Linked DNA regions of Canis lupus familiaris. The protein of the gene in region 4 interacts with the protein of the main gene of each other region in a biochemical or structural test. Links are inferred from orthologs where the notes say so. Each region holds a gene or a part of one and is shown on either strand. Other genes may lie near its edges.

Region 1 (4,114 bases), on a different chromosome or scaffold from region 4:
ACATTTTGACCTGAAGGGTGAGAGGACCAATATATATACATATATATGGATATATATAGACATATATATATATATAGAAACACACACACACACACACACACACACACATATATGAAGACCCTCGCTTTTTCTGCTGAAGCCATGAAATATACAATCCTTGCTGCTGGGATCAGATGCCAGGAACATGGTAGCCAAGATACTTAATGTGCCAACTCCTCTATCACCTCCATGCCTCCTGCCCCACAACCAATATTTTTCATAATTCAAGCCAGGCTTTTTGGGGTCAGCCCTTAAGTCACTAGCCCCTGCCTCACCGTGTTGCATTTCTCAATCAGCAGCCGGATCTCAGGTTTCACTTTCTCAATAATGTCCACTAGCTGCTGGTTGCTTTTTAGCATCCCATTGGGCATCACGAACACCTTGGTTCCTGGCAGGGACATGAAGAAGGTCAAATGATTGAGGGATTGGGGGACAGGACATAATACCCCCACCTTCCTTGTTTCCCAGACCCATGAGATGCTATGATCTCTGCTTTTTATCTAAAATGAGTGTCTAAAGTGCCGAAGTCAAGGGATCCTTGGGTGGCTCAGCGGTTTAGCGCCTGCCTTTGGCCCAGGGTATGATCCTAGGGTCCCGGGATTGAGTCCTGCATCGGGCTCCCTGCACGGAGCCTGCTTCTCCCTCTGTCTATGTCTCTGCCTCTCTGCCTCTCTCTCTCTCATGAATAAATAAAATCCTTAAAAAAAAAAAAAGTGCCAAAATCTGAATAAGGAAAGAATAGGAAATTAAAATATGCTCTAAAGATTTAATGCACCAACTATTACTGAAAAAGAGAAAATAACTAGAACTTCTGTGGAAAATCTAAGATGTGTAGCCACCTCAAACCTCTCCCCCTTGACAGTCCACACTAAGTCAACCGCTCCCTATTTATTGGGAAATTAGGTTTGGGGTGCTAAATAATAACCATGTTTGTAGAACTTTGGAATGTTAACGCTGGAAAATAAAATTCGGTCTTGTTTTCTGATCAGAGACTGCCAGATCAATCCTCCTGCTCAGGGTTGCAAGCCAGGGAGTAGGTGGGCGGGGGAGACTGGCTCTTACCTTGGAAGGCCTCTTCACATTCATCCAACCTTCGCTTCTTGTAAGTGGGCTAAGGATACAGAGATAGGAATTAGTCTGCTCTTGACACCCATATTCCCATCACAAGTTACCCTTCAAGCAAGTCTAATCTCTTTGGCCCCATAGGCTGTTTTCATTTATGCACAATTTACTAAGCACATATAAGACTTTAAAAAAGATTCTTGCCACAAAGCAAGTTACAATCTAGTTGGGAAGACCAGCCTTCAAATGACACATTAAGCAACTGGGGGAGAGGGGTGGATACTATAAGCAACAGGAAAAATGAACCATTCAAAGCACAGTGAGTATACTAAAGGGAATATGTACAAATCTTCAACTTCCACAAAGAAGTACAATATTCAATCAACAAACATGTACTTAGCACCTACTATGTACCAAGTACAGTGCTAGGTGCTAGGGATACAAAGATGATTAATAGTTTCTGTTTTCCAGAATTGCAAGCTCTATCAAGGACACAGTAATTCAGACAATACAGTGTTAACACTGTTATTATGAAATGTGGACATGTAACTGGCAAGCACGGGGTTCTAAATATATGTCACATAGACAGAGACTACAGTTATATAGCAAGCACTACTCATCCTCTAACAATACTCAAGACATTGAAAAAGGTAAGAAATATCTTGTTTAGAGCCACAGGGACAGACCAGATAACTTGAGGAAACCTGTAGCTACTAGTCCTATTAGGAACTCACTGTAGGACAAAGTAACATTACATTACACACTTCATGCTATAAATGAAAACCAGGGTCTCAAAGTGGTATACTGGAATCATCAGGTCTATAAGAGCCCTTGTTCCTAGATCCTAATCCACTGTCTCCTCCGTATGTGTTTAAATTGACTAGGAAGTAAAGAACAGAGACTAGAGAACTATTGCTTCAGAATACAAAGAAAAATACAGGACACTCACACCGTCCAGTCCATCGTGGCTATTGGTGAGAAGAATAGGATCAGGGACTGGGAGATTCATGTCTGAGTGGATCTGAGTTAGGTCATGGATGTTTAGGATTGGTTCCTGAAAGAGAGACGCCCACCCCCAAAACAACATCAGTCTTTTCAAAATGAACAAAGAAGTATTTTATTTGAAGGGCAAGAAATGAGAGCATTTTACTGTACAAAACAAAATAGAATCAACACATGATTTCTCCCATTTGACAGAAAGACCAGAGCCAAAAAAACGGGAATTTGAAGAAAAGAGTCTCTCACCTTCAAAAAGCTATCAAGTTCTAACAACTTCTTTGGGAAGAAATTTGCCACCAAGTCTTCTGCCTAAAAATGAAGGAAAATACAGCTCAATTAATAATTGTGGGAAGGTCTCTCTCTACAGATCTCTTCTTTGGGAAATTCCCAACTATCAACCAACGCTTATTTATTTTATTTTATTTTATTTTTTTTATTGCACTCACCTCACTTGTGATCCGCTCCCTGAAAGAATCAACCTAAAATTAACAAAGAGAGCAATTCAGTAACAGCAAGTCAGTACCTGGCAACAGAGGTTAAGGGCAGGACGGGAAAACCCAAATCCAGCCGTACTCCCCTCACCTTGTAATTGTAATGAGAAGCTGAGAGACCCCCAGACTGTAAATACTTTATTTTTTTGAGGATCCATTTCTCCATCTCAGGAGAGGGAAGTGGGGTTTGAGGGTAGCACCCGCCTGCTTTCCCTCCCACCCTCCCTCCTTGTGTCTGAAGCTGTCTGGATTTGAGAGCAAACGAAAGTCAGGTAGACAGGGGGCATGTGAGCTCACAAACGTGCCAAGCCCCCATCCAGACCTAGCCTTTGATACCAGGGAGGCCTGACGCCAAGGGTAGGGGTAGAACAGCGGTAGCATCCGGAGGCGGGGACGTTGCTGGACTGGGGACTTCCAGCTGTCACTGGCCTAAAGTGTTGAGTCCACCACGTGTCCGCGGAGGTCTCCTCGGGGATCTCCACCACCAGATGCGGTTCACAAGGCCACCCCATATTATCCTCTCCCCTGATGCCGTCTCCGGGAGTGGGGGGCTGGGCTGAGCTGAGCGGAAGCTCAGAGCTGGTGTCCCCAGGGAGACAAAGACGCCATGGGGAGTGGGGAGCCGGTCAGACTGCTCGGGAATCGAAGCGGGGGGTAAGGAGGCCCAGACCGGTGCCGCTACCTTGAGCTTCACTTCCTGATCCACCTTCAGCAACGAGGCCATGGCCGGGCCGGGCCGTGTCCGCTCCACTGGAGACCAGAGGCGCTGTGGGCTCCGGGGAGGGGGTCAGAGGGACGGGAAGAATCTCGGCTGTTCTAGGGACGCGACCGCCCTCGCTGGCTCACTCACTGCTCGCTCGCTCCCTCCCTCCGAGCCGTCCGCCCGCCCGCCTGCTGCCTGCTGCCTGCTCACTCTCTCGCTCGCCCTCCCGGCTTTCGCCGCTCACGCCGGAAGTTACATCACAGCCAATCGCCGGGACTCCGGAGAGGCGCACGTGCCCTGCGCAGCCGCGCTGGGGTCCAGCCCTGGACGTCCGAGACCGGACTCCTAGCAGCCGGCATCCAATGCCGGGTAAGGGCGAAGTAGGAGGGAGAGCAGCCGAGGGTGGTTTGCTTAAAACTGAGCATTAGAGAGACTCCAGGACTGTTGGACATTCTGTTAGCTCGGCGCTCGCCCTCATCACAGGGACCTTCTGAACCGCTGCCGCCTCGAGGACAGGACGGACAGCGCCGTCGCGCCCCAGTGACGTCGGCCCGAGGAAGCCGGCGGCCCCGGCGCTGGGCTCGGGGGTTCTACTCTGTGATTCTTGCTGCCTCCTCCCGTCGGCCGAAGCTCTAGTGTTAGGCTAGAGTCAAACAGAAGTCAAGCTCTGTTGTCCCAGGCTTCTCCACCTTCCTCCGTCACTTAGCCTCATACAGTTCGAGACCTCAGAGATCAGCTGCCTGATGGGCAGATTGACAACCGGAGCGCGGCATTGCTTGTCCAAGCCCACACAGTTTCCAGACCCAGATCTCCCGACTTT
Region 2 (4,212 bases), on a different chromosome or scaffold from region 4:
ACAGCAGCGAGACCCGCACGTACCATTTAAATAAAGGCGCCAAGCGAGGAGGTTTGACAGTTACTCCCCCCTGGACCTCCCCGCCCCCCATCCTCGCCGGGCTAGCGCCTCCGGGGAAAGCCGGAGCGGGGGGGCGGGGGGGGTGCGGGCCAGAGCCCCGCCTCTCCGTGGCCTGCAGAACCCTTCTTGCAAAGCTTGGATGCCTGCAGTCCCAGAAACCATAACGGCCCCCTCGCCTCCCCCCTCCTCCGCCTCCCCCCTCCCCCCCGGCGCAGCCAGCGAGTCCTTTTCAGCACCTGCTACCTGTGAGGCCACGCGTGCGCTAAAAATAATCCGTTACGTTTGCAGATCGCTGGATGAAGCATTTCCAGATTTCTTAGCTCAGATGTTCCTCATGACGGCGCGGTGAGGTGGGCAGAGGAGACGTTACAATCCCCGTGGCATCCTACGTAGTCAGAAATGAGAGCTCAGGGAAGGGGAAAAGTGAGTGGCCCAAACACTTTGACAGCGGTGACCCGGAGACAAAATTTCATAGACGTTCGTTCATTTAACTCTGTTTCAACGAGTGATGATTCACTGATTATGTACCAGTCCTGTTTCTTTGTGAATACATCGGGGAAATTTAAAAAAAAAAAAAAAAAAGAGTCCCCGCCCTCCTGTATGTAGCTCTCTACTGGAGGAACAGACAAGTGCACCGATAAAAGATACAATTACAAATGGTGAGGAGTACCGGAAAAGAGCTAAAAAGGTCCAGGGAGAAAAAAGCGGTTGGAAGGAGATGTGCTTGATACCGGGAGGGCTTTCTCCAATATTTTGACGTTTGAGCAGATGTGATGAATTATTTCACACCTTTTCCTCGCTACTGAAAGCTTCCCAACCTCCACTCTTTGCTCTCAATTTTTGCTTCATTCCTCATGGAAAAAAATTAAAAGATATAACAGCCATGAACTCCCTTATCTTCTCACCATCAAAACTATTATTACAGACATAGTAACATTTGGGTTACTATGAATGAAGTGTCCTTGCGCCTATGAATGCCAGTCCCTCTACCAGTGACCTGGATTCCTTTCCCTCCCACATTCCTAAAAACTTTACTCCTACAATCACCTCGCCCTCCAGCATCATAACTTTTTCCCCTATTAGATTACTTCTATCAGGATACAAACATACTGAAATTCCTCCCATCTAAAACAAACCTCCCTTGACTCCAAAATCTCCTCCAGAACTGCCCTATTTCTCCCTCTTCAGTGCATAAATTCTCAGGTTTTTCAAGATCTCCCAACAGTGATTGTTCTCCTTTCCTCATTCCCTTCTCCTACCACATTCCCTTCTCAGCCCACTCCGATCCAGCCTTGACTTCTCTCATCGAGATCACTTATCAAGATTATTAATAATCTCTGTTTCCAAAACCACCTGTCAATTCTGTATTATCTAAAATGACCTCACAGCAGAACTGCAATAACTAAATAAATCTTAAAAAAAAAAAAAAAAATGGATGGGAGCTGGTCACTGGAAAGACTAAACATTGGGCACCTGGGTGGCTCAGTCGGTTAAGCATCTGCCTTCAGCTCAGGTTATGATCTGAGAGTCTTAGAATCAAATCTCACATGAGGCTCCCTGCTCAGTGGGGAGTCTGCTTCTCCCTCTCCTTCTACCCCTCCCCCCTGCTCATGTTCTCTCTCAAATAAATAAAATCAAAAAAAAAAAAAAAAGAAAGAAAGAAAGACTAAAGTGATTAGAGGGAGGTTAGTAGATACATGGAAGTACTAGGAAATGGGCGCCAAGAGAGAGCAGAGAAGCTCTGCATTCCCGCCCTTCATGCATTACCCTATGAATCTCTTTCACTTAGCTGTTCCTGAGTTATTTCCTATATATTAAACTGGTAGGGGGCACCTGGGTAGCTCAGATGATTAAGCATCTGCCTTTGGCTCAGGTCATGATCTCAAGGTCCTGGGATCGAGTCCTGTATTGGGCTCCCTGCTCAGTGGGGAACCTTCTTCTCCTTCTCCATCTGTCTCTCCCCCTGCTCATGTTCTCTCTCTGTCTGAAATGAATAAATAAAATATTTTAAAATAATAATGATAATAATAATAATAAAGTGGTAAATGTAAGTAAAATGTTTTCCTGAGTTTTGTGAGTCCATTCTAATAGATAATCAAAACTGAGCAGAAATTATAGGAATTCTCAAATTTGGTAGGTCAGAAGTTCAAGTGGCCCATGAGACTGGCAACTGGTATCTGAAGTAGGAGCAGTCTTGTGGAACTGAGCCCTTAACCTGTGGGATCTCAACTTATCCCTGGAGTTGATGTCAAAACTGAATTATTGGATATTTAGTTGGTGTTAGAAGAATTGGTATGGAAAGATTTAGTGTCAGAACCTCAGAGTTTCTTTAATATATATATTTTTAAAACTACATTTTACATTTGTATTGGTAAAGACTAATGCAATCCAAGCAGAGTATGCTTATTTTTTTCTTCTGATTTTAAGGATTTAAAACATTTTTGTGGGCCCTAAAATGATTGTCCCACCAACATGTAAAAATTAACTTCGAATTAATCATAGACCTAAATATGAGTTAAAACTTTAAAACTCTTTGGGGTAAGTCTCTATAACCTTGAGTGAGAAGTAGCTTTCTTAGATAGGGATCACACACAAGTTTGTGGTAGGAATGGTATAGCCATTTTGGAAAAGAGTTTGGCCGTTCTTTGAAAACTGAAAAGGTACTCACCATACAACCCAACAACTCTTGGACATTTATCCCGGAGAAACAAAAACTTCTTTCCATGAAGGGAATTGTACAAGAATGTTCATAGCAGGGATCCTTGGGTGGTGCAGCGGTTTGGCGCCTGTCTTTGGCCCAGGGCGCGATCCTGGAGACCCGGGATCGAATCCCACGTCGGGCTCCCAGTGCATGGAGCCTGCTTCTCCCTCTGCCTATGTCTCTGCCTCTCTCGCTCTCTCTCTCTGTGACTATCATAAATAAATAAAAATTAAAAAAAAAAGAATGTTCATAGCAGCTTTATAAGAATCCCAAACCAGAAACTATCCAAATCTCCTTTAATGGGTAAATGGCTAAACAAACTGCAATACAGGTATCTTATGGAATACTACTTAGCAATTTAAAAACAAAAACAAAAACACACAACAACTTGGATAAACTTCATGGAAATTATACTGATTGAAAAAATAATAATCCCAAAAGGATGTCTATTATGTAACATTAATGAAATAACATAAATACAGAGATAGAGAATAGACTAGTGGTTGTCAAGGAATTAGGGATGGGGGGAAAGGGTGGTTCCTACCAATGTCAATTTCATGGTTTTGATATTACACTTTAGTTCCACAAAATATTAACTTCCAGGGAGACTGGGGAAAGGATGCATGTGACTTCCCTATACATTTCTTTGCAATCTCCTGTGAATCTATAATTACTTCAATACAAAAGTACACATTTTTTCATATATATATGTATATATGAATATGAATATCTAAAAAGTATACATGTATATAAATATTGAAGATACAATGTATCAAAATTGTGAGGAGAGGGATATCATCAAAATGGCAGAACTGACAGCTCTAAACCCCCATACCTCCATGGAAACTTTAAAAAATAACCAGCAACTGTCAGACCAACTTTGTCAGAATTCTGGAAAACAGTCAACCAAGTAAATGTTCAATCCAAAAAATAAAGTAAAATAAAATAAGACAACTTAAAAATGGCAAGAAAACTTTATGATACTTTCATTTATCCCTGCCCTACTCTATCTATGACTTGGCCACCGCAGCCCACCTTCCTAGGATGGAGCTCTAGTCCCTGGAAATCATTGTTTTCATCTGTTCTAATCTTCCTGGAAGCCAGCTGAAGGACTAACGCAAGGCTTATCTCTCTTTTGCTTAACCAGCAGAAAAGCGGCAGACATTGCCTGAAAATACTGTAAGGTAAATAAACAACCTGCAACTGCCTGGGGACGAAGGTTACCATTGGTACCTAAATAGACCACCTAAAGCCTGGGAGTAAAAGCTAAGGAGAGAAGTATACTGGGAATTTAGGTCATTCAAAATGAAAAGTGCTCATGAACACAGGGGCATTTAGAAGGCCATGTAACATGCCTGAGACAAGATGCATCTCAGGAAAGACCCCAAAAAGGCCTAAGATTCCAACATTGGCTGCTAAACATGTTAGTTGCAACCAGGAAGTGAAGGCTA
Region 3 (4,068 bases), on a different chromosome or scaffold from region 4:
CGTAGGTTGAGTGCATGGTCAGGGGGTCCAGGGGCCGGTGGGGCTGGGGGACAGGCTCTGAGCTCTTCTTGGCGTAGCGCGTTTCGTACAGCTCCTTGATTTTCTTGAACAGCTCGGGGCTACAGTCAAACTGGACCAGCTGGAGGGCCCGGGTGACAAGTTCGTGTTTAAGTCCGCTCTTACTCCGGCCAACAAAACCCAGGAGCATCTGAAGATCGGAGACTCGGAAACTCATCACCATGTTCTGGGGAAGAGCAACCACAGATACACACGCTCAGAGGAGACACAGCCAGATTCGGGGACTGCCAATGGGGCAAGGGGCTTCGTGGAGCCACCTGGGCCCTAAACGGGGGGGACAGCGAAAGGAGAGCCCATCAGGTGCTGCCTGGCCCTCCCTCCAGACCCCCTTCACTCTGGTGGGCAGGAGCAGGAGCCCAGGAGGAGGAGGAGGCGTAGGCACCAGGCCCACCAGCCCAGGCTCAGTCCCACTTCCATGACCTTGCTCACGCTGCCCGCTCACCCTTCCCTATGATGCCCCCTCCCAGCTTAACCCTGCTCCCCTCCACCTCTTCCTCCTCAAACCTTCCTCAGCACTGCCAACGCAGCAAAAGCTTCTGACCGCCCCCCCAACACACACCGCTGCCTTCTATTTTAAGTTCTCTTTTCCCATCTTCAAGCCTGAAAGCATCCCCAGGGCAGGAACTGGGAATCTTCCTTTACCCGTAAACAGCCTCAGCCACTCCCTAGCCAAGAACACTAATGGCCTCTGTGACCCTCAGTCTCTTCGTCAGGATGACAGGACCCACTTCGTTGGGATGTGGGAAGGACCAGATGAGGTAACATACGGAAAGCAGAGAAAATCAACGTTGGCCACAAACACATTTTCCCTTCAGTCTGGAGTATGGTAGCCACGACTTAATACCAATCACTCGCCAGGAACTGAGCTGCACATGTGATCATATACTCAACGCTGATTCTTATGACAATCCTGCTGGGCTGTGGGGAGCTCCACATGACAGCCAAGATTCAAACCTAGGCCTGACTCCAAAGCCAGGGGTAATTTCTCTCTATTGCACTAGGGGTGTCCACATGGGGCTGAGCACTGGTGAACATCAAACGTCTGCTGATCATTCCAGAAGGCCTTCTCTGCCTCGACCCTGTGGACGTTGGGACTGGATTGTTCTCTGGGGCGGGGCCATCCTGGGCACTGTTGGGTACTCAGCAGCATCCCTGACCTCCACCCACTCGATGCCAGGAACTCTCCCCAAGCTCCCGTGGTGATAATGACAAAGGTCCCCCAGACACTGCCAAGTGTGCCCTGGGAACAGTTTCGGCCCATTTAGAACCACGGGTCTGAGGAGAAGGCTTTGGGAATACAGCAGCCACGGAGGCTGTGAGCTGTGGCAAAGTGATGAAAGAGGTCTAGCAGAGTCTGGCACTTACTACCTGGCAGGGTCCCTCCGACTAAATCAAACCAAACACGAGAGCTCAGCTGACGCTGATGTTTTCTTTGGGGCGGCCTGACCATAGCCTGGCCTCGGGGAGACTCTGGGACGCCAAGGGGACTGACACTCCGCAATATGCTACATAAGCAAAGTATCCTTGAAGGATGGATAGGCCGGCAGGGTTTCAGGGCCACCCACACTGAGCCCCAAAGCTGGCCTGCAATGAATGAAATGTGGTGGGGAAAAAGAAACTTCCAGGGGAATGGGGAAAACAGGTACAAGTGATGAAGGTGTATATGGGAAGCTGGCGGGCACAGGGCAGGACAGCACCCAAGGAAACCAATGAAGCCCTTAAATTCAACTTGAGAGTCTGACAGTTAGAGGTGGGTGGGAACCCTGCCAGGGTGTTTACGTAGCAGTCTCACTGCCAGAAGGCTCTGGTGTTTCCCGTTTCCTGGCTGTTGAAGGGTGAGGCGTGTAGTCTGAGGGCAGCACCAGGACTCAGGAGCTCTGGGTTCCTAGGCAACCCCAGGTCCTCTGTAGGGTCCCTCTGCACTTTGGGCATCTCATCTACCCATGCAAGATGTGAGCCCTCTAAGATTTCGGCAGCCGTCCACCAGGTTCCTGCTGATAGCAGAGAGGCTGTCAAGGCACAAAATGACAGATACACACATGTGGGGCTGCCCATCCTGCCTGCAAAATCTCAAGGGGGAGCCTTTTCCCGCTGCAGGGCCTTCCTCCTATTCCCACACTACAGATGTGGAGCATCCGCCACACACCAAGCACAAGGGCTCTTTGCGGCCACGAATCTCACAAGGGTCCACGCCCACCAGGCAGGTTAGAAAACCGAGGCCCCGTGAAAAACGTGGCTGGCCCAGAGCCTCCCCACGTGTCAGTGGCAGGAGCCATCAGAGTCCCAAGGGCACTTCCTTCCACTCCCACCCAGCTATCTGGGGGCCTGGGGACCCCTCACATCCCAGCACACCTCCTGCCTTGGGACTTAAGCAATCTGTAGGCTCTCAGAGAGCCCAGAATGCTTACAAAAACACAAAGACTTCACCTTCCTTGGCCTGACTTCCTACCTTGAGCAGAGAAAATAGGCTTGCAGACAAGATGTTTCTTCTGGAAGAGGCCCAAGGCCTTGGAGGGGAGAGGAGACGTCATGTGGAAGCTGAGTGCCCTCCACGGAGCTAAAGGCAGGTGGGCTCGGTGTGCCGAGTCTGACCACAACACATCTTCTACCATCACCCCGCCCCTGGGAGCACCCTGCCCCCGCCATGGCCCAGCCCTTTCACCAGGTTGGACATCCGGAGCTGCCGCACAAGCATCCTGGGGCACATCCCTCAAGCTGCCATATGTTCACGACTCGGATTTCTCAGCAGCTGCCACCACCAAGGAGCCTGCCCTTGACACTGGGAGGGGGGACAGTGTGAGAGGGGCACAAACATTCAGGAAGAAGCCCCAAGCACTTTGCAAATCACTTCCTGCCATGGCTTCATCCTACCCGCCTGCCCCTCAGATCTGTGTTTATAAACAGCACCAGGCCCCCACGGCTTCCAGAGTCTCAACTCTGGGCTTGTTTGGAGCTATGTGGAAAAACATCAGCCTGGATAGAGCTGCCGCGCTTAACTTAACCCGTCTCGGGTATAGGTTCCTCTGAATGTGGCGGAAAGTTAAGGTCCTTATCGCCAGGAAATGGGAGATCTGTGCAAAATGCTCCCATCTCAAGGGGTTCCCAGACTGCCTCTTCTCCCCAAGCCCTCACAGGGGCCTCAGGCAAAGGCGGATTTCCAAGTTTACCAACAAGCCCCTGTCATTCTCCCTGAGGACCAGCCTGTTTTGAACTCCAAAAGACAAAATCTCCAGCCCCTGTTACTACAAAAGGCTAGGTAAGCACCTAAAAGAAGAGAACACTTCAACGACACCTAAGACACTCCACAGTGGCAGCCACAGACTAAAGAAAGGCGCCCGAGGCTCGGAGCGAGCTGTGTCACTGAACAGAGGCTCACGTTCTAGAGAACTTGAAAAAAGGGTCAACTTGATTTAATTGGGGTGGGGGCCCCAGCCACCGGAGGGTCAAGTAGAGTTCATGAGATCATATTTCAAGGCCCTGGATGGTATAAAAGAATTCAGTCCCTACCGTCTGGCTGGGACTGGGACCGGGTGGGGGGTGGGGTACACCCAGAGTCACAGCCCTATGGGACGGCTTTATTTGAGGGCTCCGGGGGTCCTCAAGCCCACTGGCTGCTACCTTGGGCATGCAGAGTTCAGACTTCCACATCTCCAGGGCAAGTCCCAATTTCTCAAAACCCTACAGAAGGGCAGAGTGTAGTACAGGCATTGAGGGGGACGCTCCAGGGGGAAGGGAACTGCATTTCAGATCTCCGCAGGAAGAGAAGGGAGATGGAGGGAGAGAGAGGAACAGGAGAAAGAAAACATTTACAGGTCAGGACCTGGGGAGGGAAGATCAGTGGGAGGGGAAAAGGCGGAGCCTCTGTCCAGGAAAGGTCCGGTCTCCCACCTCCCGGCCACCAAAGGCCTGGAGTAAACTTCTCAGGGAGGAAGGGAACAACCCCACTGTAGTGTGGGGCAAGGTACCTGGAAGACAGTACCCCTGGAACAG
Region 4 (3,500 bases):
GTTGAGGCTCCACACTTAGCCAGGGCCCTACCTTCTGGTCGTTCCCAGGTCTGTCGAGCCTGGTGGGGAAGCAGGGGTGTAGGTGAACCTGAGCCCAGGAACATGGCTGGGAGGTGGTTCTCCTGAACCCAACTGAAAACCCTGGTAGTTGTGGAGAACCCCGCATTGTACTCAGGAGCGTGGGTTGTTGGACCTTTAACCCCATAAGAGCAGAGCAGAGACTTGTTGCCAGGTGTCCATGAAGCCTGCCTGAAGGGTTGGGGCAGGCTGCTGTCATCCCCTTCTAGGAGACACCCTCTTTGTCTTGTTAAAGCCTTGTTTATGGTAAATGTTGGATTCTAGGAGTCCTCGATGTTTCCATGGACTTTGAAGAGCAGCAAACAGACTCAGGGCAAGATTCTCCCAGGGCAGGAGGGAGCCAAGGGCAGCTGGGGGCGCCCCAGCCTGTTCTTTGCTGGGTGAGCGGCAGCCCAGAGAGTCTGTTCCACCTGCAGGCTGCGCACAGGTGTGCTCAGCGGGCGCCAGGCCACTGGTGGGAACAGCCAGAGGCACCAGGCCTTGGGGGCTCGGAGCTGCCGTCTCCCACAGCCAGCACGCTCCCAGGACAGGTGGACGCTGGGCAGGCTGTGGGCTGGCCACTCACCTCCTGCTGACTCCCTGAGTAAATGGGAGATAGGCCTTGATCCATTTGTTGTTTGTGGGGCGGCTGTGGATCTGGGGGCAGGGGGTGGCTGTGGGATGGGTAAGTGGAGACGGCAGTGGGTAGCGCCTGGGGCCCTGGTGAGAGGTGGGTCTCTTGGGTGCTGGGGGCTGGGTGCTGTCCAGGGACTTGCGCATGATGCGGTGTGAACTGATGTCCGCCCTGGGGCACCTTTGTACTCCATTGCTTTCAAGAATAAGTGTGGTTTGGGCAGCCCCAGTGGCCCAGCAGTTTGGCGCCACCTTCAGCCCAGGGTGTGATCCTGGAGACCCGGGGTCGAGTCCTGCGTCGGGCTCCCTGCGTGGAGCCTGCTTCTCCCGCTGCCTGTGTCTCTGTCTCTCTCTCTCTGTGTCATGAATAAATAAATAAAAATCTTAAAAAAAAAAAAAAAAAAGAATAAGGGTGGTTCTCCTGACCAGACAAGAACCTAGATTCTGAGCCGCGGGCCTAATGCCCCCCACCTCGGCACTGGCAAGGGGGACAGGTGTGCAGGCGTCTGCCGGGAGTGCTTGGCCAGGCCTTTCTGTGCAGCACTGGACAGTTGTGTAGCCCCAGGCCTGTGCCTTCACCTCCCTGCACCTCGGGGTCACTGGGAAATGGAGACCACAGTGGGGGCCCTGGGAGGGGGGAGGCCGGGTCAGCCCCGTGGGGCCCCCAGGTGGGGTGGCTCGCTGAGAGCACGGTGCATGTGCAGCAAGCTGTGAGAGCAGAGGGGCCGGAGGAGCCTGAGGCCGACCCTTGCTAACCACACGCCCTGCCTGGTCTCTTCCAGGGACTTTGAACATGTCGGGGATCGCTCTCAGCAGACTCGCCCAGGAGAGGAAAGCCTGGAGAAAGGACCACCCGTTTGTAAGGAAAGCTTTATTTCTGCACACAGCAGAGTGGATCCGTTTCTCCTGACGGAAACCGGGACGTCCCCGTCCAGCCCGGGCCTGTCACGTGCTCTGTGCGGAGGGCCCGTGGGGGGTCATGGGATGGTTCTGCGAGTGGGTGAGACGAGATGCCGCGGCGCTGATGTGCTTGTGTGGTTGTTTTCTCTCAGGGCTTTGTGGCTGTCCCGACAAAGAATCCCGACGGCACGATGAACCTCATGAACTGGGAGTGTGCCATTCCAGGGAAGAAAGGGGTAAGAGGTGCTGCTCCTCGGCTAGCCCCGTGTGTGGGCCCCATGCCCTCTTGGAGGAGTGGGGAGGAGGCCAAGGTGACATGTGACACACACAGCCCCCCAGGGCAGCTGTAATTCAGAAAGCAGGAGCTGGGCTGAGGAAGGGGGTTGCTGGGCACCCCCACCAAGCCTGGGGGGCAGACCTGCTGCATCTCTGGGGCAAGAGGAGCCTTGAGGGCCTTCGCATTTTCCTTCAGGATCAGCCTCGTGATGCTGGGTCCTGGTGGTCTTTGAGCCCAGGGCGGCTGCTGGCCCTCAGGTGTGGAAGTCCCACGTGGGCCCCCTGGGAAAGCCGTGTGCGGCCTACGTGTGCCAGGCCGGTTAGGATGGGCGTGCTTGAAGCATTTGGAAGTGAGGATCTCCAGCAACCCCACATCTGGCTCTTCCCGGGAAACCCTGAAAGAGAGAGGAGGCCCCTAAGGGGTCCCCATTAGGTCCGACACCTCATCGCTTCTGTTTCTTCCTCCCATGGTTCACGATGACCGTCCCAGGAGCTCAGCCTTGGTGGTTCCCAACAGTCAGTCTCCTTTCTTTCTGCTAAGCCAATGGGATTAGGACATGGCTTTGTCTGCAAGATGATGTGCTTTGGGTTCTCCGACCTTTGAGCGCCCAGCCTGCACCTCTGCTTTTGCTAAGACCATTCCTGGCCCCTCATCTGAGGCCAGGGCAGGCACAGTGTGGCCATCTCCCTCCCAGAGGAGGCTGGGGAGGGTCATGGAGCTGGAGTGGGGGGCCTCGAGGCAGCTGCTCAAGTAAAGATCCCAATCCCTCATCCTGGGGTCACCAGGGACAGCCTGCCAGGCCTTGCCTGTCTTCCCAGAAGTCCAGCTCCAGCCCTGCTCCTCTCTGGGGAGGGCTCTTCCCAGGGCCCCTTGGGGCCCACGGAAGCACCGACAGTCCTGTCACGGGGACAGCTGATCTTTGGGCCAGTGTAGGAGCCCACCTCCCTGTGGGGGCAGTGCTGGGGGACCTGCTACAGAAGCCAGCTGCTCCTGGGCTCGGCCCACCACAGAGGCCAGCAGCACACCTAACTACAGCTTTGCTTCCCAACAGACTCCCTGGGAAGGAGGCTTGTTTAAACTACGGATGCTTTTCAAAGACGATTATCCATCCTCACCCCCAAAATGTAAGTAGAGTGAAGTCCAGCGGAGATCGGAAGTCCCATGTTCCCTGGGGGCATTTCCAGGGGCACTCATCCTCGAAGCCGGCTGTGGATCTGAACCCGTTCCTAGCGCCCAGTGCTGGGAGCTGCACGTAATGGGCCTAGTCACAGGCCCTGGCTGTGATGCCCTGGACAGCTCCCGGGCGCTTCCTGGGGAGGAGGTGCCACCACCCCCACCCCAGCCCGGGCAGGGATGGGCATGCAGAAGGACCGCGGTGCAGAGCCTCGCCTCTCACAGCCTCCTTTCCCTCCCCCGCTGGTGCTCCACCTGTAGGTGACAGTTTCCTATCTGGCTTGTGGCCGCAGGCGCCCCCGGACAGATAGCACACCAAAGCGGCCAGAGAAGGCTGCGCTTAGAGCACCAGAGTGCAGTTAGCAAAACTCGGGGCCAGGCGGGCACTGAGTCCCTCCGGTCTCGTAGCTGCAGATCCACAAACCCTGCCCACAGTTGGTTAATTCAGTGAGCTAATGTG

What was found.
Region 1: of the proteins of UBE2I (region 4) and PSME3, one has a biochemical effect on the other in vitro, tested with the Homo sapiens proteins (2 studies listed by BioGRID). The link is inferred for Canis lupus familiaris from reciprocal best matches to the Homo sapiens genes UBE2I and PSME3.
Region 2: the proteins of UBE2I (region 4) and PIAS1 form a complex in vitro, tested with the Homo sapiens proteins (12 studies listed by BioGRID, with this or other methods). The link is inferred for Canis lupus familiaris from reciprocal best matches to the Homo sapiens genes UBE2I and PIAS1.
Region 3: the proteins of UBE2I (region 4) and PIAS4 form a complex in vitro, tested with the Homo sapiens proteins (4 studies listed by BioGRID). The link is inferred for Canis lupus familiaris from reciprocal best matches to the Homo sapiens genes UBE2I and PIAS4.

Annotation. Positions count from the first base shown.
Region 1 is NC_049230.1:20,062,001-20,066,114, forward strand, and holds the start of PSME3 (proteasome activator complex subunit 3), read right to left. Parts: upstream 2,801-4,114; 5' UTR 2,758-2,800; coding exon 2,683-2,757; intron 2,580-2,682; coding exon 2,547-2,579; intron 2,410-2,546; coding exon 2,347-2,409; intron 2,156-2,346; coding exon 2,051-2,155; intron 1,151-2,050; coding exon 1,102-1,150; intron 428-1,101; coding exon 315-427; intron 11-314; coding exon 1-10. UniProt on the Homo sapiens protein: Subunit of the 11S REG-gamma (also called PA28-gamma) proteasome regulator, a doughnut-shaped homoheptamer which associates with the proteasome. 11S REG-gamma activates the trypsin-like catalytic subunit of the proteasome but inhibits the chymotrypsin-like and postglutamyl-preferring (PGPH) subunits.
Region 2 is NC_049251.1:32,546,733-32,550,944, reverse strand, and holds the start of PIAS1 (E3 SUMO-protein ligase PIAS1), read right to left. Parts: upstream 2,801-4,212; 5' UTR 2,786-2,800; coding exon 2,729-2,785; intron 1,493-2,728; exon of another isoform or gene 349-1,492; intron 1-348. UniProt on the Homo sapiens protein: Functions as an E3-type small ubiquitin-like modifier (SUMO) ligase, stabilizing the interaction between UBE2I and the substrate, and as a SUMO-tethering factor. Catalyzes sumoylation of various proteins, such as CEBPB, MRE11, MTA1, PTK2 and PML.
Region 3 is NC_049241.1:55,944,840-55,948,907, forward strand, and holds the start of PIAS4 (E3 SUMO-protein ligase PIAS4), read right to left. Parts: upstream 2,801-4,068; 5' UTR 2,786-2,800; coding exon 2,741-2,785; intron 343-2,740; exon of another isoform or gene 245-342; coding exon 1-244.
Region 4 is NC_049227.1:39,919,405-39,922,904, reverse strand, and holds part of UBE2I (SUMO-conjugating enzyme UBC9), read left to right. Parts: intron 1-1,472; 5' UTR 1,473-1,483; coding exon 1,484-1,549; intron 1,550-1,742; coding exon 1,743-1,826; intron 1,827-2,918; coding exon 2,919-2,991; intron 2,992-3,500. UniProt on the Homo sapiens protein: Accepts the ubiquitin-like proteins SUMO1, SUMO2, SUMO3, SUMO4 and SUMO1P1/SUMO5 from the UBLE1A-UBLE1B E1 complex and catalyzes their covalent attachment to other proteins with the help of an E3 ligase such as RANBP2, CBX4 and ZNF451.